Linked DNA regions of Bombyx mori. The protein of the gene in region 1 interacts with the protein of each later gene in a pairwise test. Links are inferred from orthologs where the notes say so. Each region holds a gene or a part of one and is shown in the gene's direction. Other genes may lie near its edges.

Region 1 (5,368 bases):
AAAAATATTTAAATGTTAAGATTTGATTTCTAAATTTTATTTACTAATTTAAATTAATTAAATTCACAAAACTATTCACAACCAAAAAGTTTGGTTTGGAATCTTGTAAGTGTCAAGTTGTCTCTTGTTATGAAATTTATTGATTTTGTGCATTCTTTGTAGCAAGTACTTTTTTTTTCTTTAAAAGGGCAAATGAACCCCATGACATTTAGTGTTAAGTGGCTTCTAGAATTTATAAGTTTATTACAATATGAATATTAAATCTACTCTTCAAAGCAGAATGCTTGAAAGCTTTGAAGTCGAAATGGGTGCAGAATAGTGTACTCATAATAGACCAAACAAACAATGAACGTCTCATTTTTAATTCAATTTTGGTCCAGGTCCACTACCAGTAGATCTTAATCTCTTGCTTTAATATGTTTTCGTGATTACTTAAAGTTGTTCACTTAAATACTAACCTGTACAAGTTCCATCGACAAGTTCTTCAGTATTAGCAAGTTGCAAATTCATGTAGCCATCTGTTGATACTAACAAACCTTTGTATTCATGACCCCATTTTAATTTAACTAGCACGGATTTACCCGTTAGACTATTAAGAAATGGTTTGGGATTTATTGGCATAGCAGCCGCCATTTTTGCAGGTTCTAAAAAGTAAATTGGATGTTAATTCATTTTCAAACCACCTTTATTGTTTTCATTGCTTATTTAAGAAACATCAGTACTTACTTTAATATCGGCTAACAAGAAATACAAAATATAACCTCAAAATGTATCGGCTTCGCTTCGAGTTCGACGCTAATTTCTACTCATAGATATTTTTTTATTTTTTATTTATGAAAGCATTGAATTTGCAACACGGCCATCAGCTACTCATAGATAATACACCACCATAGATAAAACACAGGTAGTTTAAAATTTATTATAATTAGTTCTTTCTAGGACTTTTCGGCGGGAACGCGAGGAGTGGTTTGTTTTATTTTGTCTAATTAGTCTTTCTTCAGGTTTAAATGTGTAATAACGGTGGCTTATTAACTGCTTAACTGTAACTGTGAAAGTGCACAAATGTGGGAAAACGAAACAAAGCCACTGAACGTAAGTTCTCGAGATCTTCCAAAAAGTCCACTGAAAAAGTCTCAGTAAATGATCACCATTTTACTGAGATTATACTTCATCCCATATCATCTCATCTCATTTCATTTCATTTCGTTTTCATTTCACTTCATGCCATGTTTCATATTATTCAACTTCATTTCATTTCTATAATTTTCATATAAAAAAGTTACGTAACATAAAATTAAAATAAGACTTGACCTAAAAGTTTTAGTTAGTCCAGGTCATAAAATCCCTTTAAAAAAATGTAGTAAAAAATTAATAATAGTATGTATTTCATCTTATTATTATTGAAGCCCAGTTGAAAAAAAAACTACAGAAAATGGTAATTATTTTCTTTAATTTATATAAACATAAAGTCCTGAGAAGTCAGGTCCAGTGATTTTGTTATATTTCCACAATCTTTTACACTTTCAAATATGTTTAACTAATAGAGAAGGGCTTGTAGCGACTAAAACGACACACCTAAGCTGAAAGTTCTCAACGTATTTGGAGGAATTCGCTATTGATAAAATGTGAAGAGAAGAAAAAATATGTGAAAAGCTTCCATAAAACTATATATTAGCAATAAAAACATTTAGATAAGTTTGTTTAATTAAAGATGGTATGAACGATCTTTGGCCTAACTAAAAACCATCAAATAATTGAAAGTAGAGTCGGTTTTTTTATAAAACTATTTTGGGAATAGAAAACGAGAACTTCAACATTGTGTGTTGAAGTGCTTATGCTGAGAGTAGAGCTATAACACCAAACCATTTTAAAGACAAAATGTACATATTGTTAAAATAAATGTTAAATGGATTCGAATAATTAAATGGGCGAAACACTATTTCAATGGGTTTTTGGCTTAAAAGACCAGAATTCAATCTAACGTGATTAAAAAAGTTCCAATAACGTCAAATAGTCAATGTCAAAGTAGTGTTGCAGAATAGTAAAAATTTGATGTGAATCAGTGTTGAATCAATGAAAATATAGATTTTTACGTTTACGATCTATCTATGAGTTTTGCAATTTTTTACATTAATGCACCTTATATGAAAAACATAACCCTGACATATCTATGTAAAAACAAATAAAACATGTCACAATTTACAGGTTTTAGTGAAGATGACTTGGAAAGAATTAAATCTGGCGAAACTGCCGATGAGAGTAAAAACAGTACGTATGGAGCTTGAAATATACTTTTTTTAAGCATATCAATAACTGAACGCTTATTCAGAGTTTTAAATAGTAGCGCATGCGATTAGAATTTGAAATATTAATATCTCAACATATATAAGTAGATCTAAGAACGATTTTTGGGTATAAATCAAAGCTTCTTCAAGAAAATTAGCTATATTCTAAATAATAATGATTGCCAAATGATTCTAAGAGTTTCAAGAAAAAATATAAATGATAAAAGTCACTGAAGCCAAATTGTGCAAGCAAAATTAAAGTAAAAAAAAAGTAAAATTGATCACAAATTTGCTTCTTTATTACAAATGTCAGTGAAGCATAGTCGTATCTACTAGATATCTATAATTTCTACTTCAGTAACATATAATCCACCAATTGGATTGGCCTATATCAGTGCCTTGCACAACCTTATTATTAATGGTGTGTGTAATGCAACAATTTTTACTGCCTATGAGACAGTCTACATTTAATAACAACTACCATTTTAATTACAGAGTACATAAAAAATTCTAATATAAAACGAGTTAAATTATCAATGAAAACCAAGCCATATGAATATAAGACAGCCATTAATCAAAAACAGGATTCAGACGATGGAATAGACAGCATAGATTTTGATAAATGTAAGCTTAGTTTAAAAACACCAACGTCACCCTCCAAAAATGCTAAAATGGAGGAGGACAAACAAAATCAAGTTATTTTGCAAAATAATGTAGAGGGAAATGATGAAGTACAAGTAGATACTATCGAAGCAGACAAGAGTGATATGACAAGTAGTAGAAGGAGTAGTACTGCTCCGGACATAGTGAGAGGTGTTGATTTTCAATATACAGAACATGAACTGGCCTCTCACAAAGTGAAGTTAGGAGAATTGCAACTCAAACAGAAGATTATGGAAGAACAGAATAAGAAAAGAAAGGAAATGATTGCAAAAGCTTTAGCTGACAGGTTCGATTGATGAATTAATTAATTTAAATTAGTATTATTTATGAATAATTATGGTTAACAAATACTTTTTTAATTTTAATTTAACTTAATTTTTGGGCACACTTGCATTTTTAAAACTAATAAAAATTTACTGAGAAATTCTTTTTTAAAATTGAGCACTATAATACTTATGGTTGTGTCAATTCAATGCAATCAGAAATCTGTCTGAATGTCACCTAGTTATCAGTTATCAGAACTGAGAGATCCATTATCAGTGTTGAGATACAAAACAAGATAATTGCTAAACAGATGTGTACAGTGCATATACATTTTAAACTGCTAAATTTATTTAATTTAAAAAAAACATTATTTTCGAAATGTCTTAAAAAAATGGTGAACAAAAAGTTTTTCCAGCTCATCACTAAAACAATATGGTATGTGTCATGTACATTGCCAACAGTGTTATAATGTGAAGTTGTGATTTCAATTTAGAATTATGTTACAAACACATGCAGTGATAAGGGAAAAATTACGTTGAAGTTGATAAAGTTTACATAAATGTTGAAATGATGAAACATAAATGTTTTTATAAATGTTTGCTTTTTGCAATGAAATATTAGTGTTTTAAAAATGTAATATAATAATATATTTGTTGAATAATGTCATTTAAAAAAAAGTACACATCAATGTTAATCATTTAAACTATGAATCATATAAGTTAATATATTTTAATATTTATTTATTAATGATACTAATGTTTACATATTTTAATGTTTATCATTTTATTGTTATTATTTTCTTACATAGACACTTTTTTTGCTGTATATAATACTTATGCCATTTTCTATGATTTAGGTATGCATTCTTATTCAGATGTGGGCTGTTCAGTAATAAACGGTTTTAGTCAGTTCCACTCTGACATGCCCTGCCTACCACCTCTATATGGAGGCAGAAAGCTAGTTTTTATCTTGACCTAAAGAACATTCTACAAGTAAATCAAGGTGTATTGTTTTACTAGCACAGAGTAGTCTGCTTAATTACAAACTACTGCAGAGTATATCTTTCACAAGAGTAACACAAAAAATTATTCCAGTAGGTGTATTGAAAAGAAAGACAAAACAATTTACACAGGTATCAAATTAAAATTTTAGGACGAAACAGACAGAAGAAGAAGTAATGAAACTTGAGAAAATCAAGAAAGAACTACAAGTATTGGACAGTCAATTTTCACAGGATGTGTCAGTATTGAGGAAGAAAATAGATCAAGCCTGCTTAAGTTATGCTGATGCTGAGTTAGTATTGATTTTTTTATTTCCAGAAGGGTCAATTAATAAAAATCTTCTTTAATATTATATTTTTACGACCTACATGCAATAATCAATTAATTCTGTTTAAATATATTTCAGGAAACAATACTTACGAGTTGAAAAAGAATTTCTTAATGCGAAGATTCTGCTGCAAAAAGAAAAGGAAAAAAAAGAGCTGCTCACAGAACATTTATGCGCCTTAATAACACACAACGAAATGAGGAAGGCTCAGAAACTTGAAACGCTCATGCTCGAACTTGCTAATGAAAAGAAAAATGAAATTAATGAAGCATTAACCCTCAATGACGATAATCCAGTTATAATCGATGGTGTTGATGAGAGGACAGGTAAGATGGTCGAAATTAATACCAATAAATCATAGCATAATTATGAAATCAATAATTCATTACCAAACATAATTAGTTTGGGTAACAGAGAAATTAAAAATTCAAAAATAAAGATTTACTGAGATGTCAATTAATTTAAAACTCATTGAAAATAAAAATGAATTTAGAGCCAGTCAGTTTCAATAGAGGCTCCCGATTGTAGTATTCTGGTAATTGTTCTTGTTTTACACTTATCATATTACCATAAATTTAATTGTTAAGGACACTTGTGTCAATAGTATGACGTTTTTGGTTCTCTCTTTTAAGTTAATCTTTTTTATAAAGTAGGTCTTCCTAAGATTTGTGAACTGCATGCATGAAACTCGATATTTGGCTATGAAATCATAGGAGGTTGAGGTATATCTAATCTTTGATCATTGTCACTTTCGTTCAACTGCCAACTACGCAAAGTGGACCTAGTGTACTATCTAATGTAACCATAGACTTACATAATCTAGTAAA
Region 2 (4,854 bases), on another chromosome or scaffold:
AGCGTAGCCTATACAGCCTAGTCTGTCGAAGTTATATATTTTTTATGTCAATAAAAAGCCGGTGTATCTCTTTTTATTGCTTTTTGGGAGTTTTGACGTCAACTCGACGAATACCACATTGACTGAGCATGAGTTTACGCAGACCTTTTATACACAATATTACAAATACAAATTACACAATAAACTATTAAAAAAACATTAAAATAAAAATTCAAGTGACGCTTCACTCGGGTTGCTGCCAAAACTCTCTGATCATATATATGTAATAAGAATAGAGTAATGGTAGGCCATTGATATTTTTAGTAATGGAATCATTAATATCTAAAAATATTAAATAATTCATGGTTTTAAGTAATACATTTTATTCAATAATTCAATATTTATATTACAATATATAAATATTGAATTGAACAAAAATAAACTAAGAAGCCTGTGAATTATAAGCATTAGCTATTTTTTTTTAATTTGTTGTTCAAGTCACAAACAACTCTTTCGTTTGACAGCATATAGGTTTGCTATAAGGCTGTATGGGCTAAGCCCTTTGCCTATTGGCGAATTTAAAGACTATGGCATGGATAGTTTTGGGATGTTATCAAATAAGTAATTTATTTTTTTGGAAAACAATGCCAGGTAGAAAGAAATGTTGATACATAAACTAAACAACGTGAAAAAATAAGGCATAGTTTTTCAAGTACAAATAGTTTTGACATAAAGTTGGCCCACTTTTGGGCATTGTCCTTTACTAATGCAAGGGTACCGCAAGCCCGTCCAGGCTGGAACCTATACTATTTCTTTTTTATTGCTTAGATGGGTGGACGAGCTCACAGTCCACCTGGTGTTAAGTAATTACTGGAGCCCATGGACATCTACGACGTAAATGCGCCACCCACCTTGAGATATAAGTTCTAAGATCTCAGTATAGTTACAACGGCTGCCCCACCCTTCCAACCGAAACGCATTACTAAACCATTTTTTTTATGAATGAGGGATTACTTGCGGCCCAGAGACAGAGGCCTTTCCAGTTACACCAGGACAGGTGGGCAAACTAAAATCACTGGAGATTGGTGACATGTGATTTGAGATGATACCGTCATCTCATTCATACCGAAGCAAAGCTCAATGTAGGGCCTTTTCAGTAATCATTTCTGCCTTGGACCACCCGGCTCTGGAATGAAGTCCCCATGCGAATGAGTAGCAAAGTTTCACTTTTAAAATAACTTATAATTTTAATTAAACTACGCGGACGTACAGATTAGCGCATTTGGCTTATACCACTCATTCCTGTAGGTATTTTTTAAACCACATATTCCATTGAGATTGTTTTGATTCATATCATCGTAGCCCATGATACAATCTCAAATGAATACATAAACGTACCGATTATAAGTAGATTTTTTGCATTTGAAGATAAAAGAACAAAGCACTGACAGCAGCTAATGACACAAATTAACAACGTCACCACAGTGAAATGTCAAGTTGGCATTTGGCAGTAACCTGACTGTTTACGATTCCGAAAAGCAGTACCTAAGGAGTGAGTCAGTCATATTTGATATTTGTAACATACCTACCTTTTTAGTAGCTCTTTCGCTCTTAATTCGTTTGAAATACGGTTGTTTCACCGTAAAACATTAAAAAACTTATTTTCCTCCTGGAACGTGCATATTAACAACCTAAATGTCACGACAATCATGACAACATCGATACCAATGACCAAACCTAAGTGATATTTAGGATCTCATTCAATGAAATTATTGCAAGAATCAATAGTGTATAACGTGTGTAGACCTTGAGCTTTTATTAAAGGTAATTGGTTTGTATTCCAGACTACATAATGTCGAAGGAAAAGTCAGAAAGTGTAAACGGCGATAGTTCCACAGTTGCTGAACAAAACGGTGAAAAACGCATAGGCTGTGCTCATTACAAACGGCGAGCGAAGTTTGTGGTGAGTTTGTATATTAATTGCGATGTATAAATTCATATACTACACACATATTTCAGCTAGAACACCTCGGGGTACAAAAGACGCGTTCTAGATTCTAATTATAAATGTCACGTAGGAATCTCGAGATGGTGAAATGCGAAAATACGAAAACAAAGTGAAGTCAACGAACCTCCGATTTTGGCCGTGATCCTTATTCTAAATAAAAAAAATGTACAGAAAACAAAAGCATTAGACGAAGCATTGATTTAATTCTTTCTAGTCATGTTCATGTATATGTCCAATAATTACGCGCTTTAAAAATGATTTGTCTGTTGATGTAAATGAAAAGAACACTATATATTGGACTAAGCTTATTGTATTATCAAAATATGCATTCAGATTGGCTTAACCACTTTAGAAACAGGCAATAATGCTTACCATTTCACTACATTACAAAATATATCTTTTGAGGTTGAAATATAAACAAATAAATATTCTTACACATCACCAAAACCAATAACAAAGAACTAATAATAAAAACAAATCTGCTTTCTAGACTCCATGCTGTAACAAAGTGTACATCTGCCGTTACTGTCATGATGAAAACGAACAACACTATTTCAATAGGAAGACTGTTACAGAGCTGATATGCACCGAGTGCGACACAAGACAAAAGGTGCAGCCAGAATGCCAGAACTGTGGAGTTAGGTTTGGAAAGGTAATGTTGCTTTAAACTCGTGAGATGTAACAGTGATATTAAGAAGTTGTTAATAGGATGCCAAACATATTTGAGTAACTAGACGATGACCAAGCTTTGCTCAGTTTTTTTTTTATAACGCCATCTTGTTGTGTCTTTAAAGCGGTTAGTTGCCCTCAATTAAGAAAAATAATATTATTCGCCAATAGATTATTGAAAACACGAATAAAACAACATTTTCTGAAAATAAATCGTAGCTATATCGATTTATCGCCCCTGAAATCCCCTGTATACTAAATTTTATGAAAATCGTTGGAGCCGTTTCAGAGATTCAGATTATATATATATTAATATACAAGAATTGCTCGTTTAAAGGTATAAGATATGTAAATGTACCAAAATGTAATAATATGTCATTTAAGCCTGTAGTACCCTATAAACACGATTGCTTGGCCACTAGAGCAAGTACAGAACTGAAGCTTGAACAAATATTGTTCATGCATATGTTACTGAACCTATCAATACATTCTAAAGCAGGATACAGCTTAAATTCATTCAACAACATTTTGTCAAATTGTCACTAGGAAGCACTAGAAAGCTGTCAAGGTAGAGGGGGAAGAGTTTGACTGAAGAAGACATGGATGGGAGAACTATAGACTACTTAACATAATAGTAGTAGGACATATTTTAAACTCAAATAAAAAGTTACCACTATCACTATCTGGTGTTAAGAATTCATGCACTTCAGTTTAAAGGATTGGACAGACCTTATAGAATTCAAATGTGACCTCATGTTTCATCTGATGTCTATGGGCTCCTTCAACCAATTAACACCACTTAAGTTATAATAAAGCACCCCGTCTACCAAGATTTTATTTTTAAAACCTGCTGTCTATCAGGTATAAGATCTACGTAAAATTAGCATATAGTTGAGCAGGAAATGGAGATTCATTTCTATTAATATATAAAATCAAACATATTTCATGTTTGTGTAAAGACAAAAAAAGCAATACCCCTATTGAAATTAGAATTCAATGTCCTGTTTGCAGTGGAGAATCAATAACTTGTAGTTTACCCGACGTACATCACACATTAAACAAATAATGTCATAAATAAATCGAGTTAACTGTAAGACCTTGGCAAGTACATAAAACGTCTGTAGATAGTGAAGATGTTAATTAAAACACACTTACTTTATTTATTTTGATAACATCATGTAACAAATGCTTTTTTTGTTTACAGACAGTGAATTATTTTTCTTTAAACAATGTTTTTTATTGCTCGTGTAGGTAAACGAGCGTACCGCCCACCTGATAGTGAGTGGTCATCGTTGCTCATGGGCGTCACCAATGCCAGGGGCAGAGCTAAGCAATTGCCTGCCCGTTTAATACTCTCCACAAGCCTCGTTTGAAGAAGGACATGTCATAGGGTTGGGGAACCAATAATATTTGAGCAATATCCTCAGTGGTAGACGGCAATTTATTATCCACTGGTTTTAGCACTTGGAATGACTGTGTCTTCAATGCATCCATAATATTCACTTAACTTCATTATTGAGTACTGGTAGGTGTACTGATTGCGCTACCAATGTCTTAATATTACAGTACACTTGTTTGATCTGCAACCTGTTTGATGATGAAGATAAGAAACAGTATCACTGCGACGGATGCGGCATATGTCGTGTAGGAGGCCGCGATAGGTTCTTCCATTGTGAACGCTGCAACATGTGCCTGCCTGTTCAGCTGCAAAGGGTCGGACATAGGGTGAGTCAATTGAAAACTAATCTGAGTGCAGTAATCCTCCAAAAATCCATTAACAGTGCTTTTAGGTCCCACAAGCACCAATCACCGCCCTCGCCGAACCCGTCTTGCGACGAAGGGCTCGACGAGCGAATTAACCCATAGACACAGCCCAGTGAGTTTCTCGCCGGATCTTCTCAGTGGGTCGCGTTTCCGATCTGGCGGTAGATTCTGCGAAGCACAGCTCTTGCAAGGGTCAGTGTCAGCAACACTCCAGTTTGAGCCCCATGACCTCACCTACATGTTAGCAAAGCTGAAATAACCTCTTAAGGCTATCAGTATAGGTAAGAAAAAAAAAGCAGTAGTCCCTAAAGTATTTGTCTGATATTCATTCTGATGTAATGACAGGATTGTCAAAACAAAATTTAGATGTTTAAAATTGGCTGTCTCTCTATAGCAAGGACTCCCAAACTTATTTTGTCTACTGCCCACTTTGA
Region 3 (4,605 bases), on another chromosome or scaffold:
TAAATGATACCTATTTTTACTTTTATTAAAGGATAAAGTTCAAAATTGTTTGAATATTCCTAAAAGAAATTTAGTTACTTGTTATTGGTTTAAATGTAATTTATGTAATGCCTTTAAGAAACTAGTTTTCTACCTGCGGCTTTGTCTGCATAGACCAATCTTTATGCTCAGCAGTAATGAAAACTATATACATAGTCTAAATTATTTCCCATGCTTCAAATTATTTCCAAAACTACTCACAAGACCCTACAGTCGTACACCTACAAGGGTAATATAAAAAACCACGTCCAGTGACTTTGTTTCATTTTCGCACACTTATGCGCTTTCATAGACACTAAGAGGTTAATAACTACCATACATATTTAAACCTCAAGAAACACTAAAATGAGAACAGTAAATAAGTTACATAACAAAGTTTCTCACGTTCGTGCGAAGAAATAACAAAAATACCGTTCGTCTTTCTTAAAATTCTGTTTCTGGAGATCTTTTTCATGAAAATGTAATCTGCGTCACTGTGGAACTTCATGTTACACCGGTCACTCACATGTGCACGAATACGCAAACCCACAAGTGTAGGACGACATTTGCGAATGATTACGCAAAGATTTCGCTGCATTCGTGGTTTTCCAAGCTGTGTCGGTTTTTTAACAGACATCAAAGCGCGCGAACCTCGAACCTTCGCGTAGTCTCCCACATATTCGCTTGCCCAGTTGCGCCGACGATTGCGAAGGTCACGGACGTATACTATACGCCATTTTCATAGTTCGTAACGTCTGTGTAGCGTATCTTCATCAAAAGAAATCCCATAAAAACAGCATGGCTGTTAATGATGTCTGGGAAAGAATTAAAAACTCTTTTTCTCTTCAATGTTCTATTGACGAATTAAAAAGGAGGAGAAATTCGTGAGACATTCGTAAACAAGTGTAGGAGGAAGCGCAAACGGGTTCGCAAATTGAGTATGCGAATCCATTTGCACAGCCGCTAGGTTTGCGAATGAATGTTTGACGGCCCTTCACATGCGCGCAAACATTCGTACAATGTACGAATATTTGCGCGCATGTCAGTGGCCGGCATTATGATGAAAAAAATATCATAGATAGTACACCTAATATTTGCACAGAAAAAGTATGCTGGGCTAATTTCATAGACTATTATGAGATGCTTACGCATGCTAATACTAATAGGTGTTTAATCTATGTATCTATGTTGGTCAATCATTTTATTTCACTTTATTTATCTATTATTTTGGAAAACTGTACGCGTTTTTTTATGCTTTAGTATTCAAAACCTATTTAGAATATTATGAAATATCTTGAAAGTCTTAGTGATTATGCTTCAAGAGTTCAAGTGGAGACTGATATAGTGTAAATTATTTATTTAATTTGAAGCATTATGTGGTCATTTTTCTCTCGAGATCCTACAAAGGATTTTCCGTACGATGTTGGTGAACCCGTACCAGAACTGGAAGACAGAAGTGTTTGGACATTACACAAGGGGAAAAAAAGAGGTACTCAGGATGAAGTATCAATATTTTTGTTCGACGTTCAAAAGAATTCGGAGACATTGTTTGACATAGCAAAAGCTTCTCTGAAAAGATTGAAGACTACGAGACACCCTAGCCTTTTACATTATTTAGATAGCTGTGAAACTGAGAAATTTTTGTATATAGCTACTGAATATGTAGAGCCTTTATCAACTCATTTAGAATGTATGAGGCTTGAGGGTCAGCAAAAAGACCTATTTCTTGCCTGGGGCGTATTCCAAATAACTGTAAGTATTGATTTAAGTATTCAAATTCGTTATTAATTTAATAAAGTATAATGATAAAAAAAAATATTGCACACATTTCTAATAAGCTTTCTAAATTATACTTTTATGTATATCGAGTGCTATAAAATAAAAGATAGAAATAATGCATCCAATAGTCTAAGAGTGCAAGTAAATCTTTATGTTCAAAAGAAATTTAATTTAAAGTTTACAAATTTATTACAATTGATATAGTCTGAAATATATGAAAAATTGATTGAGGAAATTGACATTTTCTTTATTCATTTAAATTATAAAAATTGTCTACAGAGAGCTTTATCATTTTTAAATAATGATGGAAATATGAGACATAACAATGTATGCCTCTATTCTGTATTTGTAACATTGGCTGGTGAATGGAAACTAGGGGGATTTGAATTTCTAACAACCCAAGGACATGAAACTACGAATCCCATACCAATAAAGATATTACCTGCCCTTGAAATATATGATCCACCAGAGAAGAATGACTCTGTAAAACTTAAAAGTGCAACTAAATGGTAAGTTTCATTTTGAATGACTAATTTACTATTTTAATTAATTAGTAAGATATTAATATCTCTGTTACAATGATATTACATTTATTACTGTATTCATAAGTTACTTATTTTCATACTATGTAAAAAAAATCTGGTCATTCATTTATCGAGGCATGGTGTATTTTTACAATAAACTTATAGTAATTATATGATTATGGAATTTAATTATGAACCACTTAATGGTCTAGGTTTTTCATCATTCTTAACATATAAAAAACTAAAGTATTGTTTAATAGTTCATCAGACATGTGGGGACTAGGATGTCTCATATGGGAGGCATTTAATGGACCGCTCAAAAACCAACCGGCTCTTAAAACAGTAGATAATATACCAAAACAGCTATGTACGCTGTACTGTGAGCTGGTCAGTGCTAACCCTGCTTCAAGACCTAACCCGGCTGATATTATTACCAGGTAAATGTTTGAAATAATATCTGATTTTCTTATGAAGCACTTACATACATATATGTAACATGATGTTCAGAAAGAAAGAGGAGACTTGCAAATCACAAGAGCAAAGTAAAAATTAATTAAAATTTGCTTTTTATAATACAAACTTATTCTCTCTAAAACAGGTTTATGCTGCTAAGGAATTTGAGTTGTATTGATTTCTTTATATATCAATAACAAAAATTATAAATTTTACTTTTCATTTTAGATGTCGTAAACTTGGTGGATATTTTAAAAACGATCTGATAGATACAATGTTATTCTTAGAAGAAATTCAAATTAAAGACAAAGCTGAGAAGGGAAAATTTTTCTCAAGTCTTAGTTCACATTTAGATAACTTCCCAGAAAATGTATGTGTTCATAAGATCCTGCCGCAGTTATTGACTGCCTTTCATTATGGAGACGCTGGTTCTGCTGTGTTGGCACCTATGTTTAAGGTTAGTTAGATACAATAGTATTTTTAATTCAAAATAATGTATTATCTGCAGCCGAAATTCTAACATTTACTTCACGTTTGAATTCTGGAAACTGCTGTGTTTCATAATTATATACTATGATTGTAGTAATAATAGATGTACTGTTGTATTAAAATATAATTGTTATATTATGTAGTTGTACTGTAGTTTTGGTAATTATGAAATATTAATTAATATCCACCTTTTAAATAACAGATTACTGTAACATATTTAGACTTTATCTCAACAGAATATACATATGCAAACCTCAACCTAAAAAGGAACATATTTGAATACATACATATCGTAATATATTTGAATTTCCCAAATTAGCAAATTCATGTAAATCATATTACTATATCAACTACTGGCTACTTTTTCACTAATGAAGAAATGTTTTTCGCTTATAATAATTTCAATATATATTCACTCCTAATATGTTTACAGCTAGGCAAATTATTAGAAGATCCCGATTACCAAAAACAAATAGTGCCCTGTGTTGTTAAACTATTCGCCTCTAATGACAGAACGACAAGATCAAGGCTTCTGCAACAACTAGACCAGTTCATTATGCATCTGCAGAATTCGACAGTAAGTTAAAAAAGTTTAGAATTCTTGTAAACCCCTAAAGCAATATTATACAGTACTTAACTGATAAAATCAATGAAAACAATCTATTACCTTAGCTATTCCTAGGTTTTTTTTTTTTTAATCATGGAGCATGTAACTTGTGAACAGGTTTTATGCTCCATAGGTCTACGTTAATTAATTATGTTTTATTTAATAAAGCGCCACAATAGAGCGCCTTATCATTGACTGTATAAGAGAGGCCTGAGTGTACTAATCTATGTTTATTTATTTAGGTTAATGACCAAATTTTCCCGCAAGTTGTAAATGGCTTCTTGGACACAAATGCTATTATTAGGGAACAAACTGTGAAATCGATTGTTCATCTCGCTTCTAAACTAAATTACAACAATCTGAACGTTGAAGTATTGCGGCACTTTGCCAGATTACAGTCTAAAGATGATCAAGGAGGAATAAGGTGAGAAATAAAATGCAATTAATTTTACAAAATATTGCGGATTCTAATATTTCGTCAGACTATGAAATAGTCTAGAATATTATATAGAATTAGAAAAGTAAGTCTAGAATATATAGAATATTTATGCGGAAACGCCAAAAGTCAATATAAAAATTTAGATCTGCATGTCGATATTAATGAGTCCGAAATATGAGTTGTCCTGATTCGTCAACTCATTATTGTTAGTCCAATAAAATCGCTGACCGCTTAATCGTCGTCAATTGAAAGTAATCAATTTGACATTAATCAATATGTTATAGTTTACTATGAAG

Evidence for each region.
Region 2: the proteins of RAB6-interacting golgin (region 1) and RING finger and CHY zinc finger domain-containing protein 1 interact in a two-hybrid assay, tested with the Homo sapiens proteins (3 studies listed by BioGRID and IntAct). The link is inferred for Bombyx mori from reciprocal best matches to the Homo sapiens genes GORAB and RCHY1.
Region 3: the proteins of RAB6-interacting golgin (region 1) and N-terminal kinase-like protein interact in a two-hybrid assay, tested with the Homo sapiens proteins (2 studies listed by BioGRID and IntAct). The link is inferred for Bombyx mori from reciprocal best matches to the Homo sapiens genes GORAB and SCYL1.

Annotation. Positions count from the first base shown.
Region 1 is NC_085117.1:15,787,561-15,792,928, reverse strand, and holds the start of RAB6-interacting golgin, read left to right. Parts: upstream 1-1,986; 5' UTR 1,987-2,189; coding exon 2,190-2,268; intron 2,269-2,780; coding exon 2,781-3,234; intron 3,235-4,364; coding exon 4,365-4,505; intron 4,506-4,619; coding exon 4,620-4,902; 3' UTR 4,903-5,368. Other genes in the region: small nuclear ribonucleoprotein protein F, read right to left, coding at 459-633.
Region 2 is NC_085125.1:12,752,521-12,757,374, forward strand, and holds the start of RING finger and CHY zinc finger domain-containing protein 1, read left to right. Parts: upstream 1-1,399; 5' UTR 1,400-1,531; intron 1,532-1,537; exon of another isoform or gene 1,538-1,708; intron 1,709-1,823; 5' UTR 1,824-1,831; coding exon 1,832-1,942; intron 1,943-2,477; coding exon 2,478-2,639; intron 2,640-4,222; coding exon 4,223-4,381; intron 4,382-4,854. UniProt on the Homo sapiens protein: E3 ubiquitin-protein ligase that mediates ubiquitination of target proteins, including p53/TP53, TP73, HDAC1 and CDKN1B. Mediates ubiquitination and degradation of p53/TP53; preferentially acts on tetrameric p53/TP53.
Region 3 is NC_085131.1:8,312,314-8,316,918, forward strand, and holds the start of N-terminal kinase-like protein, read left to right. Parts: upstream 1-1,150; 5' UTR 1,151-1,392; coding exon 1,393-1,770; intron 1,771-2,076; coding exon 2,077-2,306; intron 2,307-2,581; coding exon 2,582-2,758; intron 2,759-3,002; coding exon 3,003-3,231; intron 3,232-3,696; coding exon 3,697-3,840; intron 3,841-4,112; coding exon 4,113-4,294; intron 4,295-4,605. UniProt on the Homo sapiens protein: Regulates COPI-mediated retrograde protein traffic at the interface between the Golgi apparatus and the endoplasmic reticulum. Involved in the maintenance of the Golgi apparatus morphology.